4 linked regions of the Oryzias latipes genome follow. The main gene of each other region encodes a partner of the protein of the gene in region 3 in a complex. Links are inferred from orthologs where the notes say so. Each region holds a gene or a part of one and is shown on either strand. Other genes may lie near its edges. The genes, in order: chic2, hspb8, stub1 and bag3.

What was found.
Region 1: the proteins of stub1 (region 3) and chic2 are in contact, whole or in part, in a crystal structure (PDB 8SUV), measured with the Homo sapiens proteins. The link is inferred for Oryzias latipes from reciprocal best matches to the Homo sapiens genes STUB1 and CHIC2. Residues at the interface, in NP_005852.2 of Homo sapiens: Lys30, Asn34, Phe37, Tyr49, Val61, Asn65, Leu68, Leu71, Val94, Lys95, Phe98, Phe99, Gln102, Arg128, Asn130, Phe131, Gly132, Asp134, Ile135; in NP_036242.1 of Homo sapiens: Leu156, Pro157, Lys158, Thr159, Pro160, Ile161, Phe162, Arg163, Pro164, Asp165.
Region 2: stub1 (region 3) and hspb8 share a complex: the UniProt entries of both Homo sapiens proteins name them as parts of the chaperone-assisted selective autophagy (CASA) complex. The link is inferred for Oryzias latipes from reciprocal best matches to the Homo sapiens genes STUB1 and HSPB8.
Region 4: stub1 (region 3) and bag3 share a complex: the UniProt entries of both Homo sapiens proteins name them as parts of the chaperone-assisted selective autophagy (CASA) complex. The link is inferred for Oryzias latipes from reciprocal best matches to the Homo sapiens genes STUB1 and BAG3.

Annotation. Positions count from the first base shown.
Region 1 is NC_019859.2:11,115,765-11,120,985, forward strand, and holds the start of chic2 (cysteine-rich hydrophobic domain-containing protein 2), read left to right. Parts: upstream 1-1,827; 5' UTR 1,828-2,019; coding exon 2,020-2,150; intron 2,151-4,292; coding exon 4,293-4,347; intron 4,348-4,463; coding exon 4,464-4,619; intron 4,620-5,221.
Region 2 is NC_019867.2:3,770,247-3,775,306, reverse strand, and holds the start of hspb8 (heat shock protein beta-8), read right to left. Parts: upstream 3,334-5,060; 5' UTR 3,157-3,333; coding exon 2,730-3,156; intron 1-2,729. UniProt on the Homo sapiens protein: Involved in the chaperone-assisted selective autophagy (CASA), a crucial process for protein quality control, particularly in mechanical strained cells and tissues such as muscle. Displays temperature-dependent chaperone activity.
Region 3 is NC_019877.2:8,953,830-8,959,000, forward strand, and holds the start of stub1 (E3 ubiquitin-protein ligase CHIP), read right to left. Parts: upstream 3,533-5,171; 5' UTR 3,262-3,532; intron 2,710-3,261; 5' UTR 2,593-2,709; coding exon 2,479-2,592; intron 2,386-2,478; coding exon 2,187-2,385; intron 439-2,186; coding exon 273-438; intron 185-272; coding exon 109-184; intron 1-108. UniProt on the Homo sapiens protein: E3 ubiquitin-protein ligase which targets misfolded chaperone substrates towards proteasomal degradation.
Region 4 is NC_019873.2:29,858,590-29,863,824, reverse strand, and holds the start of bag3 (BAG family molecular chaperone regulator 3), read right to left. Parts: upstream 3,488-5,235; 5' UTR 3,411-3,487; coding exon 3,240-3,410; intron 1,981-3,239; coding exon 1,648-1,980; intron 1,384-1,647; coding exon 1,066-1,383; intron 986-1,065; coding exon 407-985; 3' UTR 1-406. UniProt on the Homo sapiens protein: Co-chaperone and adapter protein that connects different classes of molecular chaperones including heat shock proteins 70 (HSP70s), e.g. HSPA1A/HSP70 or HSPA8/HSC70, and small heat shock proteins (sHSPs), e.g. HSPB8.

The sequences.
Region 1 (5,221 bases), on a different chromosome or scaffold from region 3:
GTATGGTTTCATGCCCCGTAAGAGCACCACTGATGCCATTTTTGCTTTGAGAATGTTGATGGAAAAGTACAGAGATGGTCAGAAGGAGCTGCATTGTGTGTTCGTAGATTTAGAGAAGGCGTATGACAGGGTGCCGAGGGAGGAGCTGTGGTACTGTATGAGGTCGTCTGGAGTGGCAGAGAAGTATGTCAGAGTAGTTCAGGACATGTATGAGAGAAGTATGACGGTGGTGAGATGTGCTGTAGGTCAGACAGAGGAGTTCAAGGTGGAGGTGGGACTACACCAAGGATCAGCTTTGAGTCCTTTTTTGTTTGCTATGCTGATGGACAGGCTGACAGACGAGGTAAGACAGGAATCTCCCTGGACGATGATGTTTGCGGATGACATTGTAATTTGCAGTGAGAGTAGAGAGCAGGTGGAGGAACAGCTACAGAGGTGGAGGTTTGCTCTGGAAAGAAGAGGCATGAAGGTCAGTCGTAGTAAGACAGAATACATGTGTCTGAACGAGAGGGATCAAGGTAGAAGCGTTAGGTTACAGGGGGCTGAGGTGAAAAAGGTGCAGGAGTTTAAGTACTTGGGGTCAACAGTTCAGTGTGATGGGGAGTGTGGAAAAGAGGTGAAGAGGCGAGTGCAGGCAGGTTGGAGCGGGTGGAGGAAAGTGTCAGGAGTGTTGTGTGACAGAAGAGTGTCAGCAAGACTCAAAGGAAAGGTGTACAAGACAGTGGTGAGACAAGCTCTGCTCTATGGGTTAGAGACGGTAGCAGTGAGACAGAGACAAGAGGCTGAGATGGAGGTAGCAGAGATGAAGATGTTGAGGTTCTCCTTAGGAGTGACCAGGTTAGACAGGATAAGGAACGAGTACATCAGAGGGACGGCTCATGTTGCCTGTGTTAGCGACAAAGTCAGAGAAGCCAGACTGAGATGGTTTGGACATGTTCAGAGGAGGGATAGTGGATATATTGGTAGAAGGATGTTGGAGATGGAGCTGCCTGGCAGGAGGGCAAGAGGACGGCCAAAGAGGAGATATATGGATGTCTTAACAGAGGACATGAAGTTGGCTAATGTTAGGGTAGAAGATGTCCATGATAGAGTGAGGTGGAAAAGGATGATTCGCTGTGGCGACCCCTGATGGGAAAAGCCGAAAGAGAAAGAAGAAAGACACAAAACGTATTATGTGAGTAACAAATCACGCACAAATCCAAATTTATGCACAAATCCTAATTTACAAACGCACAAAGCAAGAATATGCATACACAAATTCTAATTTACGCACAAATAAAGAATTACGCACACACAAATCTGAATTTACGCACAAATAAAGAATTACGCACGCACAAATCCGCCTGAGTCTAATTTCTCTCTATATTGGACGCAGAGTTAAAAATATTTCCTGAAAAGGCTGAGCCTGTTTTTTTTATGAACAATTACTGAAATCAATTTTTTATGCATATATTCTTGACGTTTTCGTGCTTAAACCAGTGCACAATTGAACTCCATTTTAAGTAAAATAAAAATGTGAAAAAAAGTTTATTTATTTATTTATTTATTTATTTATTTATTATTTTATCTATAGATTCTGGAGAAATACCTTTCTCCACAACATATACACTTGATGGTAATGTTAAAACGGTGAAAAGGCTAAAAAGATGATTTAGGTAAACGAAAATTCTCTCCATGGATTAAAAAAAGTGTAATTGTTTAATGGTACGACTTTTTACTAAATTTTAATCTGATTTTTTTTTTTCATATTAAAGATTAAAAAAAGAAAAGAAGAAAAAAAATCCAATCTAAAACAGATAAATCGACGTAAAGATTCGCCCGTCCCTCTTCCGGTGTCGTACGGTTACTGCGGCGGATGTTGATGTTTCGTTTCGGAGCTCGCGTAACGATGTGAACCACTCTCTGTTTTATGACTTTGCTTTCTGATCGCTCGTGTTTTTCCCCGGTTAGCTTTCACTGCTCGTCCCAGCCGTGTCTCTCCCGGTGTCTTTACCGGGAAGTGCGAGGCTGAGCCGTGCGATGATGGAGGACTTTGATGAGATATACGAAGAAGAGGAGGAAGAAGAGGACGAGGACAGGGCCGCAGAGGAACAGCTTCTCAAGTACGCTCCGGACCCGGTGGTGGTACGAGGATCTGGCCACGTCACTGTGTAAGAACCGGCCTAACTGTTGGTGGTCGTGAGGACATTTTTTTTCTTTATTGTTGTCGTGTGGCGATTTGTAGCCGCGGCTTTTATCTAGAAAAGTAAGTGCTAACTGTGTTAGCCGCTAGCTAATACAGCTAAATTGTTAAGCTAACATAATTAAGCGACTATTAGCCAAAATATGTCGATTTAGCTTCGAAAAAGTCCATTTGATAGTTTGTAAAACATTTTGAATTTATCACACAAAATAAGAATAGTTTATTTCAGGCACTGTCAAGTCAGTTGCTGAAAATTGTGAAACTTTAGAAAATACTTGTCATATGTTTGTGTTTACTTACTAGCTAGCAAAATGTACAACAATAACATTGAACATTTGATTAAAGAGAGAAGTCTTTTGCAATATGCAGTTTTTAATAAGGCCATGGCTAACAGAAAATCTAACATTTGTGTTTATATTCAGAACATAGTCCTAAACTGTTGAGTCAAAATACAACATTTCCTGTTGGATTGAAATATTTTTAGTCCTGTTACCAATTTAAACAACAAAAGGTTGCTAACTAGTAAGACATGCTCTGAAAAGTAAGACATTGGAAAAGCTTGCTGAATGGAAAGAACTAAAATATTAGCATTTAGGTTATATGTAAGTGATAATGGCAGACGAAGTGTGGATTATGTATGGGTCATTAGATTTATTGAAAAATGGCTTCCTATAGAGGACAGCTAAAATCATTTTTTAAAAGGAAATTTTAGGAACATTGTCAGATTAGGAAATCAAAGACATTGTTTATTTTTCTTCAGAAAACATCCGTTTTCCCATGAATATCTATATATTTTTAGACTTCTTGATTATATGCTTAACAACAAACATACTGCTGCATTGGCACACAAATGGAAAACAAAGTGTCTTGTGTAAATGACACTTCAGAAATAAGAAAACCACACAGTTTTGATGGTTTTAAAATGTGATCTAAATATATGTCATTAATAGATATAGTTATAATGGTTAGTCCCACTCAAATTATTTTTTATATATTCTAAAAGCGTTCCCAGTGGTCTTTTAGTAATGATTATGCCATTTTTAGACAACAACAAAAACCTTTGTTTTCTAGGACATTTTAGAAATTTGTCTCCGATCTGTGGGTGTGATTGTTGGCATGACCCAATTTCCCATCATCCCTTTGTCTACACTCTTGCATTCTAGCTTACAGTCCCTCACAATACCAACCTAACATTTCTGGTCCAACAAAATTGGCAAGCAATATTGAAGCTATCCAGCTGTATAGTTTAGAACCAGATACCAGCTCAGAAGAAGAAAACAAAGACTTGCATGGATCTAGTCGTCTGCAAGTGGATGCATCATGGAGTTAAGCAGGGAGCTTGTTAACGGCTAACTGTAGCTATAGGTCAAAGCTACAGGCTTTTTCAAATGGCATTTTTTCGTCTGCTCCTGATTCACAACAAATTGAATAAAGAAATACTCAGAAATGCAAATCTAATCTTAATTTTTTTTATATATGTCCTCCATCATGAATAAAGTGCCGCAAAAACATGTTAAAAAACACTAAAAACAGAACTTTCAGCAGAGAGGGGCTTTAATAAATAATAATGGTTATGATGAACGGTTATAAAGAATTAAGTGCAGAACCGGTACGACCGACCGACCCCAAATCTATGAATGTACATAATTATTATTATTGTTAAACTATTTCCACACCTTCTGAGCATTTCTTCTGGAGTGTGTAAATAATTGTACCAGAATGTGACAACCACCGTTTACAGGCATTAGTAGCAGTGTGAGAGCTGTTGTGTTAGTAGTAGTGTGTGTTTGTTGTATGGGTGTCTTAAGTAGTGCGTGTGGGATTTTCAATTTTATGTGAGAGTCTTTGTAGTAGGCGCTGCGTTTAAAACTGTAAACAACGGCTTAAATGGCTCTTTTTAATCCCTTACTGAAGTTAATATTTTAGAAAAGAGTTCACCGTTTCTCGGTTTGAAAGTTACACTTATCGGGTTTCGTTTGCCATTATTTTCTCACATTTATACTTTTGAGTCACAAAGGGGGGTAGTAAGCAATGGAAATTGAGTCCTGGGCATTTCTAGCCTTGGTCGCAGTGTGATTGATACATTTTGATTGTACTTTCTGTCTCACAGGTTTGGACTAAGTAACAAATTTGAGTCCGAATTTCCCTCAGCGCTAACAGGAAAGGTGAGTCATCAATTTTGCGTCATATTTTTGCTCTAATTTCCTTTTAAACTTTGTTTAAATGGGACGGGAAGATGCTAACGTGGATGAGCTTGAATGTGAATTTTGACTCCCCATAGGTGGCACCAGAGGAATTCAAAGCCAGTATATATCGAGTAAACAGCTGTTTAAGGAAGACCCTCCCGGTGAACGTGCGGTGGCTGCTGTGTGGCTGCCTGTGCTGCTGCTGCACGCTGGGCTTCAGTTTGTGGCCCGTAATTTGCCTCAGCAAAAGGGTGAGGAAACCCACAGCCACACTCCTAATCTGTTTAGACCAGGAGTCTTTAACCCATTTGGTCCAGTTTCCTACTGACCAAAACACAGCAAGTCCCACTTCACCATTTAGAAAAATCCACTGTATTTATCATTCTGTCTCCATTTAGTCATTTATTATATATACTATAAAGCTTTTCCATATTTACACTTATTGAATTATAACACTGTCAAATGTTTCTGTTCGTGACATTTTTAATTCCTTTTACTTTTGACAACAGCACATGTAAGTCTCTTTCAAAATAAAATACACCCGTTGTTAAATACGCTCCTCCTGCTGCAGCAGATTAACTTGAATTAAAAATGCAAGAAAACCCAGTCAAACATGCCATTTTCTATCATGACGACTCAAGTGTGCCTTCATCATATTTCTCTTTTTACCCGTGAATACAAAAATTACAACATTAGTGTAGAATCCAATAAAGAAATCCATACTTATGAATGCAGAAGATCAGAATCCGTGCTTTAAGCTTATTCTGACTGTATATTCAACCTATAACCATCATTTTTTTCAGTTATCTGACATGTTAAAAGTCAAAATATGAAAAACTAGTCCCTGACTTCT
Region 2 (5,060 bases), on a different chromosome or scaffold from region 3:
TCACCTTCGCGAGCATCAGTGGGAAACTAAAAAGGAAAAAGACATTAGAGTGGCAAGCTTGCAAGAGTGGCGTTTCCCTGTTACTCACACATTTTTTACCAGACTATTGTTACATTTTAATACATAAGTTGTTGGCTCAAGCTGGAAAAAAAATAAAAACAATAAAAAAACACTGTGACATACAATACAAACATATCAGGAACGTGAGCGTGATTGACAAAAAATCTCTGTTGCAAAGGAAATCCCAAATTTTACTTTTGCCAATTCTTCTAAAAATAACATGGAACTGTTTATCACCTCCAGGTGACCAAAAAAATAAAGTGGTTGCTATGGAGATTAAACCAATAAAAAGCTCCCATTTTGAAAAAAAGTTTTTTTGTTTTTAGGAATTTATTTTCGCAGTTCTGAAGGCAGAAGGGTGGTAGTGAGGGGTTGGGTGGCAGAATTTCGGCCGGTCAGGGTGAGTCAGGAGGAGGCTGTGGGTGGGGGGGGTGCATAGTGCCTGCAGGCCGTACAACGCAGCTCCTGGCTTATTGCTTACATGAACAAGCAGATCTAAAGATGCAAAACGAAAGCATCTTCATTTTTTTTTGTTCTTAGCACATCTCAACTCAGAGCAGCACAGACTGTGTCAAGTCTCTTAAAAGGTTATTGACAAGCTACAATCCAGCCAGACGTTTATTCATGAAATAAAAGCTAACCCTTGATCAAAGTTTCCTTAAGTTTGTTTTCAAAGGCCCAAGTTGTTAAGCAGATAAGCTCTGCAATTTCCTGCACTTTTGGATCAATATGCTTCTCCATTGCAGAGACCTTAACAGTCTTCTAGAAGCTGTTGCCAACCAAACTTTTCAAATCAGCAGCTGTCATCCTTTTTGAGCCACATAAACCATGTTTACCCTGCAGCAGCTCACGCTGTACCACTCAAATGTGTCTCAATTGAAATGGAGTGGGACATCATTTCCCCACAGACAAAAGAAACAATATTTGTTTTAATTTGGTTATTTCTGAAATGGTAATCATGTTTTTTAATCAATTGAGATGTGCAGCTACATTAAAAGAAGAAATCAAATACTTTTTACAGTTAAAAAATGCATTTCCAAAATGCTCACATTTGCTTCCAACAGTTGAGCTTCATCTTGTCTAAGACTGAACACTTAAAAACAGTTTTTAAAAAAGCAAATTGAATAAAGAAAGAGGCTTTGTGAGTATAAATGCTTTTACTTTGAAATACGTTCCACGGGCCGTGCTATCCTCTCAGTGAGAGGTTTTGTTGATCTCTCAGGTTATCTTAACATTCCAGCAGTTCGTTTCAGTCGTTTCCATCAAGCTGGTCAAATGGATCATGTTTTGCAGTTGGTCTATTATTGCATTTATGCTTAGCTTTTCTTTTTTTGTTAAAAGTAAAATAAACAAAAAACCAACATGTTTTATTTTTTAATCCAAATGGCATCAGTTTGTCTGGAGGAGTTTTAGAAACAGTACTGTCTAGTTTTGTAAAACTAAAAACTTCTAGCAACTTTGTATATAATTTCTGTTGGTTCATAGTTATGTAATGAGAATCTATTATAAACTCAGAAAATAATAACAATTCCAAAAAATTCTCATGCTTCATTTGCACACTTCAGGGAATGTAATGACATCTGTATGCCACTAAGTGTCCTTCTCCCTTATTAGACTGAAGCCTCAAAGCTTCCAATTGATTTTCTTTGAGCAAAACAAAAGTAAAAGTGTCAGAGTTGATCTAATTTCCACAGTTTTGATTGGTCTTGTGTTTCTCTTCTCCTTAATGCTTTGTCTTCTGTGCTTCTGTGTAAAACTCGAGTGTTCAACATTTGTTCACTCAGCTGTTGGACACCTTTAATTAGGTTGAATGCATTCCCTGCCACACTTTTAGAACCACTTGAACCACTGTGGCAGGAAGGACCAAAATGGCGCCAACCCCAGCTGGCATCCCACTGACGTGTTTATAAAAAACCCAGAGCTGAGTGAGAGGAGGAGGTTCTCCGACCTCCTTGCCCTCTTCAGCTCAGGGAAGCCTTGGAATAATTTGACCCTAAGAGCCTGGAGAAGAGGAAGCGTTTCCACATCTTCATCCAGCTATAGTCTGCATCCTGCACCATTACACTCGGAAGAAGCTCCAGCCCCTTCCAGAACATTCTTGCTCCAGCCTAAATCTAAATCGAGCTCATGAGCAGCTAAGGGAGCGATTTTCCAAGAATTCAAAAACAGGTGTCCAAGCCTAAGTATCGGCTTCACAACTTAAGTTCCAGACAGTCTTCAAAATCTGTCCTGAACTGAAGATTCAGAAGATTTTCCAGACAGAGCAGGCTGCTTTGGTTTCTCAGTAAAAACATGTTTAGTTTAGTGCTTTTTATCTTATAATTACGTAAACATTCAGAAAAAGCTGGAGAAGAAATTAAGAGTGTTGTTTTATTTTTAGCCTGAACATCCTGGAAACAAAGATGGGGGCTCCAGTGTCTTAAAAGTGATAGACGTGGCCTACTTTTACACTTCATGTCAATGATTTTAGTTGTTAATGTTTTGCACGTTAGTTTGCAAACAGAGTCAGAGTGTCTTTTTTTTAACATTAGATGCAGCAGGTTTGCGCACTTTGGCCCCAGATCATTAATCATTAACATATTGAAAGTTATGAGACATTAACACTCAAAGGTCAGGGTCACAGAATGGACCCTCAAAGTTTTGCCCTCTGATTCAGGCTGAAAGCTCACCTGACACCTCCACGAACCCGTCCCTGGTCTTCACGTTTAGCTCCTCTGCTTTAAAGCTGTGCACGTTCACGCACACTTTCCACGGCTCCCCGCCGCAGCTGGTGGGGGAGCCCCGGGACTGGGGCTCTCCGTACCGGCTGCTGGTGTAAACCGCGGGGCCCCCCGTCGACTGACGCGCGGGGAAGCCTGTGCGTAAACCGGTGCCAAACGGCGAGGCGCCGAGGCGCGAGCTTAACCTGCCCGGCCGAGCCCACCCGGGCCAGTCCATGCCCAGATCCTCGGGGAAAGGAGGCATCCCAAAGTCATCGTCCATAAAACGGGACGCCAGTTGATCTCTGAAGGGAGACTGATCCCTGAACGGAGACTCAAACGGATCTCTGGGGAAGCGCTGCCGGTTTCCCATGGTGTAAAAGTCTCCCTCTGCCATCTCCACTTCAGCACAAACTCAGAAACTTTTTGGAAATGGATTGGTTAAGAACTTTCTCCTTATTGAAAAATAGTACTTCTTCGGGAGGGGGATAAACCTTATCTGATCTGGAGCGCGCGTACCGCCCGTTACGCGCAAAAGCCTATCCGCTAAACAACATCGACACGGAGCGCGGGTTAAATACCCAGCTGGGGGCTTCACGGGGCAGGAAAGTGCTGGGAGGCCCTCGAAAGGCCCTACGCTGTAAAAAATATAAACCCAGAACAAAAAAACAAACCTCAAAATTTCACAATTACATAACATTCATAATTACATAACATTCATTTAATCAAAACTAACGTCTAGCGTTACGTGCGTGAACGCAACGAGGGAAAGTACTCCAAATAACGATAACATTCCCGGTAGATGTAAATATTTCTTTTAGTGGAGGCGCAGCAGCTGGGGGAGGACCCTCCCCCCGTGACTCATCATGTTTTAATAGAAGATAACTCAGAGCTGCTGCAGGTCTGAAGTCACACTGAAGAAGTGACACCTGAACTTCTTCGTGAAGATTTGCTGATGCAGAAAATCCACCTGCAGTGACCGAATGAAGACTTTCAGGATGACGCATCAGACACTAAACAGCTCAGTGACATGCAGCCAAAGATGCATCAGCATGAAGGGGAAATCACCAGTGAAATAGTCAATGGAAACTTAATATGACTCCATAGGATTATTATATATTTTTAGAGGTAAATTTAGTTTCAGACTTGATTACTGTTAAATAAATAAATCACCTAAACCACATCAGCTACTAAAAGATGATAAGAAAATTCATGTGTTTGAAGGTTTTGTTCTTTCTGCTAAAATAACTTTTTTCTATCAAATCTGTATTCTTGCTAATATTAAATATGTTTGATAAAGAGAGAAAAAAAGGAAAGTTCAGCCCTGTAACATGTTACTTAGTATTTAGACAATGAGCTGTTTGGTCAAGACTAGAGTTTGTCTTCTGTCACCTCATCAAACAAGTGAAAACAAAAACCTCAGTTTCCTCAAACACAAACATTTTCACTGCAATATGAATGCAGATGGACTTTGTAAAGGACTGAGGTGAAGAAGCAAAGGAAGGGAAAAAAGTGAGAAGTGATTGACAATGGTCTGTGGCCAATCAGACGTAGAACACAGCGTGCTGTATTAAAAAAAAAAAAGAAAGAAAGTGACCATTGGCACGTAATTCTAAGATACATGTTGGGCGGCCAGTGCTGAACTTTTTTTTTGGCCACACTTATTTTAAACACTGAAAATACGTGGTTTAATATAGCCGTACTTAAGATATATGCTGTGCCACTCGGTATCCATGCGTGTTTTATCAATCACCCCTTAAAATACCTGCTACCGACCACAAAATTTAGCCTCAGATGCACTTAAAATATGTGCGGGCAATGCAGTGATGTGCTTAGCCACAAGGATTACGTCCGTTTTTGTGCTTGGTCACACTTAAAATATTGTACTGGTAAAAAGTGCAAAACAGTGAGTCCGCAAAGGTGAGCCACAATATAGCGAGAGGTCGCTGTATAGCATGTGAATAGCAGTTTATCCACACTGTGAGGACATTTACTTGTTTTGCTGTTTCATTTCGTAATAAGCCACACAGTGAAGTGCAGAGACTCCACCTACTTTAGGAGGAAGGAAAGTGCTGCTATAACTACAACTGGAAAAACACTTAAACAACACAGATCTACAAAAAAAAACAATCTTTTTATGGTTGATGGGGAGCAGTGAAAAGCTGCAAAAACAAGCGTGGCGTCATAAGAGATGGTGACTCTGCCAGTGGACATTTTTCAATTTCACCTGTTTGGTCTGAAAAACAGTTATCATTGCCAGGATACCATCTCTGTGTTCATCCACACAGGGCCAGGTTTCAC
Region 3 (5,171 bases):
TTGCAGGTCACAGGATGATAAAAGTAAATCAATAAATCAAGAAGATCAGACATGTCAAAAAATGTGGAACAGCTGCTGTGGCTAAATAGAGTAAATGTAAAAGCTTACATGTCTTGACGCGATCTTGGCAGCATCACTTCCGTTCTGATTGTCATCGTGTTTTTCTTTGTAATCACCCAGCTCTCTTTAAAATATTAAGTTATGGTGATATGGATTGCAGATTTTAAAAAAGCAATAATTGAAATAAGTAGATTTTTCCCAGGAGAGCTCACCTTTCCTTCTCAGCCAGAATGAGTTTGGTCAGATAAGCGTGTAACTCGTTCTCCTGGTTGATGCGTTTCTCCTCAATGCTGTTCCAGCGTTTTTTCTTGGCGATGCGTAAAGCACTGGGAATGTCGTCTCCAAAATTCAGCCTCTGTTCTTTCGCCAAGTTATAAGCTGTAAAAACAATGGGAAGGTTGACAAATAAGTCAATGAACTGCTGACCAAATCTTTTCCTTCCGTGTTTCGTTGTTGAATAAAAGCTGCAGAAAACATCAAATATACAAAAAAAGGGAGTAAAAAACAAACTAGAGATTTAAAAATCTATGTTGCAGCGATGCAAACCCTCTGAGAGGGAAAAATGTCCTCCACAATATTCCACTTCTAAATGATGTGAAAAAGCCAATTCACAGCAACGTGAAGTTTCCATTAGAACAGATATAAATCCAGATCTTAACCAAAACAGCAAACAATAGGATTCACTTTAGACAGAGATCATCTGCCCATTTTTTAACACTTGACACGGCACAGAGACAAACAAGACCAATGTAAGAATTGTATGTTTGCAGGCGTGTGTAACAGCGTAGTGAGACAATAAACATGTAATTCTGCTCTTAATCACTACAAAAGTTATCTGTGCTGAATCCAAACCCAAAACTGCAGCAAGACAAATAAATCACAATATGATCAAAACCCAAGCACGCACGCACACACACACACACACACAAACATACATTTATACACACAAATTAAATGGTAAACGGCATATAATTGATTGAAATATGTCGAGCATTGATTTATTGTAACGTTGAAGATAATTAATCTAAATAATAGAATGTGTCAGAATATTAGCTTTTATCATCAAAATAATAGAAAAAGATGTTTACAACCTAAATGTTCAAATGCCTTCATTTCTATCACTTAGCTTGGTTAGGGCTCCTCTATGTGAATCACTGCATCAATGCACTGAGGATATGAAGCGTGTGGCTCTATGTAGAAGTAATGGAGGTTTCTATGTGCTGCCTTCACATTATCTGCATTATTGAGTCTGGTGTCTCATCTTCCTCCAAACAAGAGACAATAGATTCATAATAGGGTTCAGGTCAGGGGAATGTGCTATCAGCCACAGTAATACTATTAATTGAACCAGCTTTTGGTTCTTTTGGCAGAGTGGGCGGGCCCCATGTCCTGCAGGAAAATTGAATCTGCAGCTCCAATGAGCTCAACACCAAAAGGCAGCATGAAGTGCTACAGAACTTTGTGTAGACTTCAAAAAAACATGGACCTACATCATCCCTGACTGTGGAAGCTTCACAAGACCCTTCAGGCAACATCGGGTCTGTGCGTCTCCAAATGAAATACAACCTTTACTTTTGGACCACTAAGCATCTGTCTGGTTCTTTTCTAATGAGCCCAGGTAAAAAACAAAAAACAAAAAAAAACGTCTAACTCTGATGATGGTGAAATAAATCAGAATTTTGCATGGATTTTCTCTGTTGAAAGTCTTTTTTCTTTCCACTCTATTTTCTGTTAATATGCTTGGACAGATTAACTACCATGATTGCATATGGACTTACATTTGTCTGATACATTTGAAGGTTCAGGAAACCTTTGCAAAAATAATCCGTTACAGTTTTTGATACTTTTTATTTTGTCATTTTCTTCTTAATGTACCTAAAGTTGATGAAATGCTCTGGTTTTAAGGTAAATGCATTGATTTGTAACTGCTGGTGCCTTTAAGAACATGTGCAAGTTTGATTTTCTCATCCCCACAGAAAATTCTTTTTTGTTAGAATCCCACAATAAAAGCACAAGTGAACTGATCCATCTTCAACACCTAAAGGTTGTGATCCTTTGTTCTGGTGTTATGATTAAGAAAACCCGACACGAACGGCTAGGAGAGAAAAATCAAACTAGTTTCTGACCTTTTTGCAAATTGCCGATTGCCTCATCGTAGTTCTCCAGCTCCAGGTGACACTGGCCCAGGAAGAAGTGGGCTTTAACAGACTGACTATCCAGCTCCAGTGCATGCTTACAATCTGTCAGAGCCTTGTCATACTGCTGCAGCTTCACGTGGCAGAGGGCCCTGTTGGTGTAGTATACTGCCACTGATGGATTGCGGTTCTGGAAGACACAATGGGGAAAATAAAGAGTATTTACGCGCAAACTGTTTAGTCTTCGCCATTAGTGTTTGGATGAGAAATCCCAGACGCTTACAATAGCTTTACTATAGCAAGAGGCAGCATCCTGGTACTTGCGGCAGAGGAAAAGCCGGTTCCCCTGCTCCTTGAACTCCTGCGCGGTGGAACTCTTCTCCGGGCTGCCGGCCATCTTCTCCACCGGCTCCGCGGGGCCCGCTTCGCCCTGTTTCCCTATCCTGTTCCCCGTCTCTTCGGCTGGCTAGACAACAGGTTTTCAGAACGTCCCGTCCGGCTTGGATCTCACACACTAAAACACAGGCGCGTGCTGAGTTAGCGATGCACCTGCAATGCGCTGCTTCTTCAACGATCTCTCGGCGCAACGCTGCTGCTTGGTGCCGCTCAGAATGCATTCATTCGGGTTTGCTGACAGTGCACGCCGCTGAAAATCACAGCTAGACTGCCGGCGAATTAACTATTCACATTCGGAAATCGATGGCCATCAGCGAGCACAGCTATTTAAAAAAAATCCAGAACCATTAATTTACACATCCACTCAGGTTTCGAGTAAAAACACCAGATACAAGATAATATATTTAAGTTAACGAAAAATTGTATATTATTGTTACACGACAAGAAACACAAAAATAAGATTGCTAACTTACAAACAAACAGAGGAGGAGAATCGATGCTATGCTAAAATTAGCTAAGCTTTTATCTTGAAATTATTTTGTTTGGGGACATAGTACAGCTTTTGTGTCTCTAATCAATTTTATTGACATTTAATTTAGGGTAGATTCTGGTGAATTGAAGCAGAGGATAGTAAAACCATAACTACTTGTTCAAGGATTTCAATATTTACCACAACGCAGCTCGGTTTCTTCAAAAAACATAAACTAGCTAGTGCTAGCTTAGCCTTTTTGCATTACAGTTGCTTCACGTCCGTTTCAGTTTGTTGGAGGCTTAAATAAAGTTTTACATAGTACCCACCCTTACCTTTAATCAGAAATTTTACATTCAGCTCAAACAGATTTAATTTAGTTTGATATAAAATCGTTACGGATTATTTTTACCACCCGTACGAACTGTCAAGACGGAATGTTGTGGTGCTGACGTCAAACGCTTTACGCTCTAACAACGGAAGCCGAGAGCACACGAATCCTGATGGGAGTTTGCGCAGAGGTTATCTTCAAGTATCATAACAATGTAAAGTTTCTGTGCTCATTTCTGTAAAAGTACTGTGGGAACAAACCCTCATCTGTATTGGGACTGCTCTCATAATTTGGCTTTATAGAATGCCAGCCCTTTATCTTTAATCCTAAATTAATCATAGAGGGTCATTGGAGCTGTGAGAAGAGCATGCAAACAACGTGAAACAGGGGCCTTCTATATGTGAGAAGACCCTGGTATCAGTGCTAGTGGTTAGAACTAACATAGCTGACTACTGATACAAGTAACCACACCTTATCTCTGAGTGATGGTTAGTTGTATAGAAAATAGGTACTGACCTTACATTACGTTAGACAAAATACTATAACAACACCCTATCAAATAAAAGTGTTTGTTTATATCTGATTCGAAATTATTAGTAAAATAATTGATATTAATGGAAATAATTTATTATTATTATTTTGTCTTCCTTAAACTTCTGTTATTGCACTAATCCAAAAGCATTGAAGATGATAAATCTGTTCTATTTGATTTGGTGCTTTTTATGTCTTTACTCATTTTTCACTTTTTATATTAGCTTGATGCCAAATTTTAACATGAGACTTTGCTTATGTTAAGAGAAGCATAAAAATTCATTTTTTTTCTGTATCGCTTTGTCCCTTTCGGGGTCACGGGGCTGCCGGAGCCTATCTCGGCTACTTTGGCGTAGGCAGGGGATGCCCTGGACAGGTCGCCAGTCTGTCCAGGGCAGACTGCGTTTTTTATGCTTTTATGCTGCTGTAAGCATAAAAATGTAATTGAAAAAAAAAAACGTATATATTTTTTAACATTCAGAAAAGTATTTTTTTCTCAAATATGGTTTGAAAATGAAATGAAGCCACACCTAAATATTTCCTGTTATTTTTATGCATCTTTACAATCACTCATTTAAATCTGAATAAGCAAAAATATGAGAGCAAGAAATGGAAAGATGGGTTTACCTGAGGTTGTTTGAGACGTTTATACAAATCTGAAATGTGTAAAGAGGAGTTATTTTAAAAAATATGATCAGAAATATTTGCATTTTTTGCAGTTGAACTACCAATTTTACACACCAAGATACAGAAAAAGACAACTGGGTGGTTTCTCATTGCACTTGTAAAAGATCAGCACAGGAAATCTAGTGTATTGGCCAGAAGATGGCATCATCGGGCTACTCGTTTTTTTAAATGTGAGTCAAATCTTTAATGTAATCTGTTATTAAGTAGTTTAGTACAATATTATGAATTACCATTGCATCACTGTGTTATGTAGTGACTCTAATAAAGATATGTGCCAAATAAAGATGTGTGCCAAAATAAATTTGATGATACATTTATACTTATTCTGGATTCAGTTGACAAATGTAAACATTTTTAAATCATCAAAGGGATTTTTCAGCAACGGTTATAATATTAAAAACATTTTTTATGAATCAGTTTTCTTGAGACATCCAACTCACAAAGAAACTGCAGATAACATTTTGGTCTTTGCAGTCCGTCATGTTTGACAGTGGAGGAATTAGTGAGACCTTGACTGTGGAAAAGGTCATTTTCAAACCAGCCAGTTGCGCCTTTGTAAGGC
Region 4 (5,235 bases), on a different chromosome or scaffold from region 3:
GTAAAGATGTGACTGTGTTCTGTGACAGAGCGGCTCCATCATGAGCCCTCAAACACCGACCCGTGTGCTTACTCCACCAGAAGACGCGTCACACCGTTTCCTGTCAGACTAAAGGCAACGACACATAGACTCTGTTAGGAAAATACTGGGATTTCTCTTTGATGCTGTAATAAAGGCCTCATTTCAAACTCAAATTTGCTTAGCGGTTGCCGTCAACGCCTCACTGATGGTCGCAGTCAAATTTACAAGGACACTGACGGCGAGAACGATGGCTCAAAAACGAACGGCGCTGAGCTACCATCAGTTAAGTGCTGAAGGAACAAACGACCACTGAACGCATGCAGCTTCCACAAACGCTTCAGGCGGAGGAGTCCGCCGGCATCCTCTGCTCCTGAACGGGAGCTCCTCAGAAAATCTCCTTGGCCGTCACATAATGTTCCTTGGACTCTCCTCTGTCACCGTCCGCCGGCGTCTCACTGGTGGGCTTGGCTGGCCGCTCCTCCAGCTGTTCCAGCTCCTCCAGTATGGTCTGAACCCGCCGGACTCCATCGCGCCGGGCCTGCCGCACATCTGCGCGTCCCTCCGGGTCGACAGAGTCCAGAGCCAGCAGCTCTTTGGTCAGCAGCTCCTCCAGCAGCAGGTATTTCTTATCATTTTTCTTCCCGCTGAAAGCCTTGGCCTCCTGCTCCAGCGAAGCCACCCGTCCCACGATCTGCTGAACCTTCGCCAAGCCCGGGTGAACGGCGCCCTGCTCCCCCTCTGCTCTGGTTGGGGGGGCTTCAGGGCCGGCTGGGTCCTGAACCTCTGCTTTTGGAGGGATTTGAACCGTGATGTCTGCAACGTGATGCTGCGGCTCCTGGGACTGAGGCTGCTCCAGATGTGGAGCGTCCACCTCTGTGAGCTGCGGTTGAGGAACCGGCAGGTTCTCTGCTTTCTGCAGCTCCTGCTCCACTTTCTGGGCCGGGTCTCTAGTGAGGAGGTTCTGCTGAGATCCAAATAACAAAGTTACAGTTTTATGTCAGAATCTGGGACACGCTGGCAAAAGGAAAAGACCGGAAAGCCCACCTGCGGTCTGTCCGCCTGCAGCTGCGATACCGTCGGGGACTGGCTCCTAAGCGAAGGTGGGAGGCGGGCAGACGCTGCGTCCCGGTGCTGCGGGAACAGCGACGTCGGGGAAGCACTTTCCCGAGAAGACGGCGCCGCAGAGTAGGCGGGCCGTTCGTCTGTCTGGAGGCGCTGGTAGGGGGCGCGCTGAGAGTAGACGGCGGGGTTTACCTGAGGCGGACCCCCTCCGCCCTCATGGATGACTGGAATAGGAATGTAACCGGCCTGGAGGCCGGTGCTGCCGGGTCGACACGGTTGGTGGTGTGTGGCGGTGTGCACCTGAGCAGCAACACAGTCAGAACGCAGTGAACACGTTTGGTCGCACAAATGTTACCCGCTTCAGCTCATGCTGGTCCCTCACTAGATCGCCGGCCACCTTTTTATAGCCAATTTCCATTTTACTTCACAGCTCGCTATGTTCTGCATCCTGATTGGCTGTTGACCTTGTCAATCAATCTCCTCCGTGTATGAAATGCGTTATTTTGAAAACTCCCACTGTAATCAAGGGTGGCTGTCAGTGAAGAACCCAAATGTTACCCGTACCTCTGTGGTTGGCGGCGTGGGCGTGCTGGCCCTCCCGGGCTCAGAGGAGCAGCTGTCTGAGGCCACGTGTAACGGCGATCTGGGCCTGCCGTGAAGTCCGGAGGCGTGCGAAGGAGCCTGACCTTCGTACCGGACACTCTGCGCTGTGCTTGGCTGGATGTACGTACAGCAGGGATGCGGCGGCTGCTGCCGCAGCTCTGCGCCCTCATGGAAGACGGGGATGGGGATGTAGCCGGGCCGCAGAATCGGGTGCTTCATCTCTCGGGTAAAGGTCTTCTGGGTCTCCTTAGGATGTTGTTCTGGAGGTATGTTGGGTCCGTTTGCTTCTCTACTCTGAAATATAGGCAGGGGAAAGAATTTAGAACCAAAAAACCTTTAAATTCATTAAAAAAACACACACAAATCTCAGGTAAAAACTTTAAGACTTCCACCACTGATTCATCAGTGATATTTTGTATAATTGTGTATTTGTGCTTCTATAGTGCTTTTCTAAAGCCTAAAGTGCTTTACACACTCTGATGGGGGCAGAGCAAGGCCAGAATCAAACCCGAGACCTCCTAATCCAGAGTCAACCGCTCTACCTCTGCACCACAGCTGCTCACAAAGCCCCCGTCTCATGCTGCCTCCATGTTTTCCAGGTGTGTTTTCCAAATATAACGGTGCTTTGGGCCGTTGACGTCAGGTGAGCGTCTGTGCAGACGTCTGTGTTCGCGACCGTCCGGCCGCAGGTGGAAATCCTCCACAGATCCACGTTCTGCCTTCTCCAGATCCACGTTCCGCTTTCTCCAGATCCACGTTCCGCTTTCTCCAGATCCACGTTCCGCCTTCTCCAGATCCACGTTCCGCTTTCTCCAGATCCACGTTCCGCCTTCTCCGTCCCGGGTCACATTTCCTCACCCAGCAGCCAAAAGTGACGCTGCCCTGCCAGAACAACCTCTGCATTCCAGCCCGGCAGCTGCTAGTTTGCCTCCTGAAGATGTGTCCCTGTGCCCAGCGCCCCCCCCCTCTGACCCCCAACACGCCAACATCACACAGGACAGCACTTTTAATCTGAAGGAGACCAACTGTTTGTCTTTTTGAATGTTCTTTATGGAACAGGTCACCGCTGTGAACTATTTTCCTCCATGAAAACCGATCAGACAGGAAGAGAATTTAAAAATAAAAGCACGAGATGTCAGGAAGAAGTGAAGGAGCAGAGAGCAACAGGTCTGATGCCCCCCCCCCCTCCCCAACCAAAGGAGACCAAAACCTGGAGGAAAACGGTCAACAATCGGTACCCCGTCGGTGTCTCCTCCGGAACGACCCTTTGCCCTCTGCCCGGGACCGCCCGCCCAGCAGCCCCCGCCACACACAGCAGCCCAGCCGCGGTCCCTGCTGGGAAAATGACCTTAATGTGAAAACGGCCCCCCCGTCCCGGCCGCCACATACTGCAGGGTGACTCATCGCGTAATAATAGTTATGATGACACGAGGACATGGCGGGACCGATCAGCCGTTACCACCGACAATACAATGTTCCGCAGAAACAACCAACGCAGATTCCCCGCGAGCGCTTCCCGCCGGGGAAGCAACTTTGCCCGCGCGCTCCTTCACCTTTGTCGCGACGTGTCTCGGGTCATTCCAGGTTGTGGTTCGGTTGTTGTGATCCACGAAAAACGGCCATCCGGTCTGGGGGTCGATTTTGACCTCCCAGCCGAGGGGCAGGGGGTCGCTGTCGTTGTTAGCCATGGTCGGCGCGGGGGCGCGTGTCTGCACGGCGCTCATGCTGCTCGCGCTCCGGTACTAAGACATTTTATACGGGCGGCGGGCGCTTTAAAGACTCCGTGGAGTGACGTGGGGAAGTGGGCTGGAAGCTTCTGGAAATAGCAGGGTTAACTGTGGGGGCGGCAAGGGGGGCGGGGGGGGGGGGGGGGGCGGAGCTGCAGATCCAAGCCGGAGACCCCCACGAGGGTTTACCGAGAGCAGCTCCACCTGAAACGTGACGACGGACCGGAGAGCAGCGGAGACGACTCCATCAGAGCCCAGACGGGGGGGGGGGGCTAAACATGTTCAAAAACACATGCGTGCCTCCGGCGAGGAACACATGTTCAATGAGATTTGGTCACTAAATAAACTAGTCCAATTCTATTTTATCATTAAAAATGAGTAAAAATCTACAAACAAAATGAAAAATCAAAAGGTTCAAACACAACCCCCCCACAAAGAGACAGCTGCTTATAACATTACTCTGTTTTCCAGTCCAGACAAACATTTGCTTTCATCAATATTTCATATTAAAGCCGCTTTTTGGAATCTAAATTCTAGTGGATACTATCTAATGATTATGTTAAACATATATGAAGGATCTAAACTTTAAAACAACTTTAAAAGATTTAAAAACATACAAAGTAGTCATTCTAAATATGTGCAGCAAACAGCTGTTTGATTATCAAACTGATATTTGAAACCATTGTTATTTATAAATAGTTTAAATTATGTCAAATGCTGCAAAACAGGAGAGTAAATTATTCATGTTGAAAAAATTAATAAATAATTAGGAGTGTGACCATTAATTTTACCTCAATCCAGATGGAATTTTCTAATATTGATTTAATTGATTTTGACACGAGTTTATAATGGTATAGGTCCACTCGATTGTACAAATAGAAATTAATTAATATTAATTAACTATTAATTAACTAGATTAATAGTTAAACTCTTAATAATAATAATAATAATGTCCTTTATAAAGATAAGGCTAAGCTTTCTGTGACTCTATAAGGTCATGTCAGAGACTGTTTATGACTCACCATATATACTGGGATAAACTGTTTATGGGTTAGAGTTATTGTAAAATAATCCATTCTCCCTTTACTATACTGTTGTTATAAGGATAATCACATTAGTGTCGTGTGAATTAATTTTTTTTCTTTACATTTAAATTTTACACTAAATACATATTTTATTTATCTTCATCACTCCAAGGCTGCTGCAATTACATTGTATCACCATATACAATGACAATAAAATTATTCTGATTAGTCAAAAATCTGTAAAAAGAACTCTACAGGCTACACAAAGCCTAACTTTATAAAGCACACAGCATCAAGTCCGGACATTACAGCAGAGTTTAAACAGAAGAATAAAAATAACTCGATAGCTGAACATTAAAACATGAAAGGTGTTTAAAAACAAGTTCACACGCGCTGACACCTGACCCGAGCTTCCAGAAATCCCCTCTGTTCCAGTTATAGCTGACACAAACGGGCATCGTCTCAGGAGGGTCCTTAAAACAAGCGAACCCTTACTTCCGCTTAAAATCTAAGGAAATGACGTAACGTCAGGGGAAAAAAAGACTTTTCTCTATTGCCGTTTAATAGCGTCACCCTGAAATAGATGATTGATACAGAAAATCTAACCTTCGTTTTTCAAACGTTGCATTTTCTTATAAAGGTTATAAAGGTTTAAATTTAGGCTACTTCACCTTTTCCGTAGGACAGGCTGTTACGCATGCGCAAGAGAAACACTCATGGTCTGACGTACGCTCTGTTCCCGTCAGTTAGCATCTGAGGAGCTGGGTAACTAGCTGCTTTGTATTTGACACTAGTGT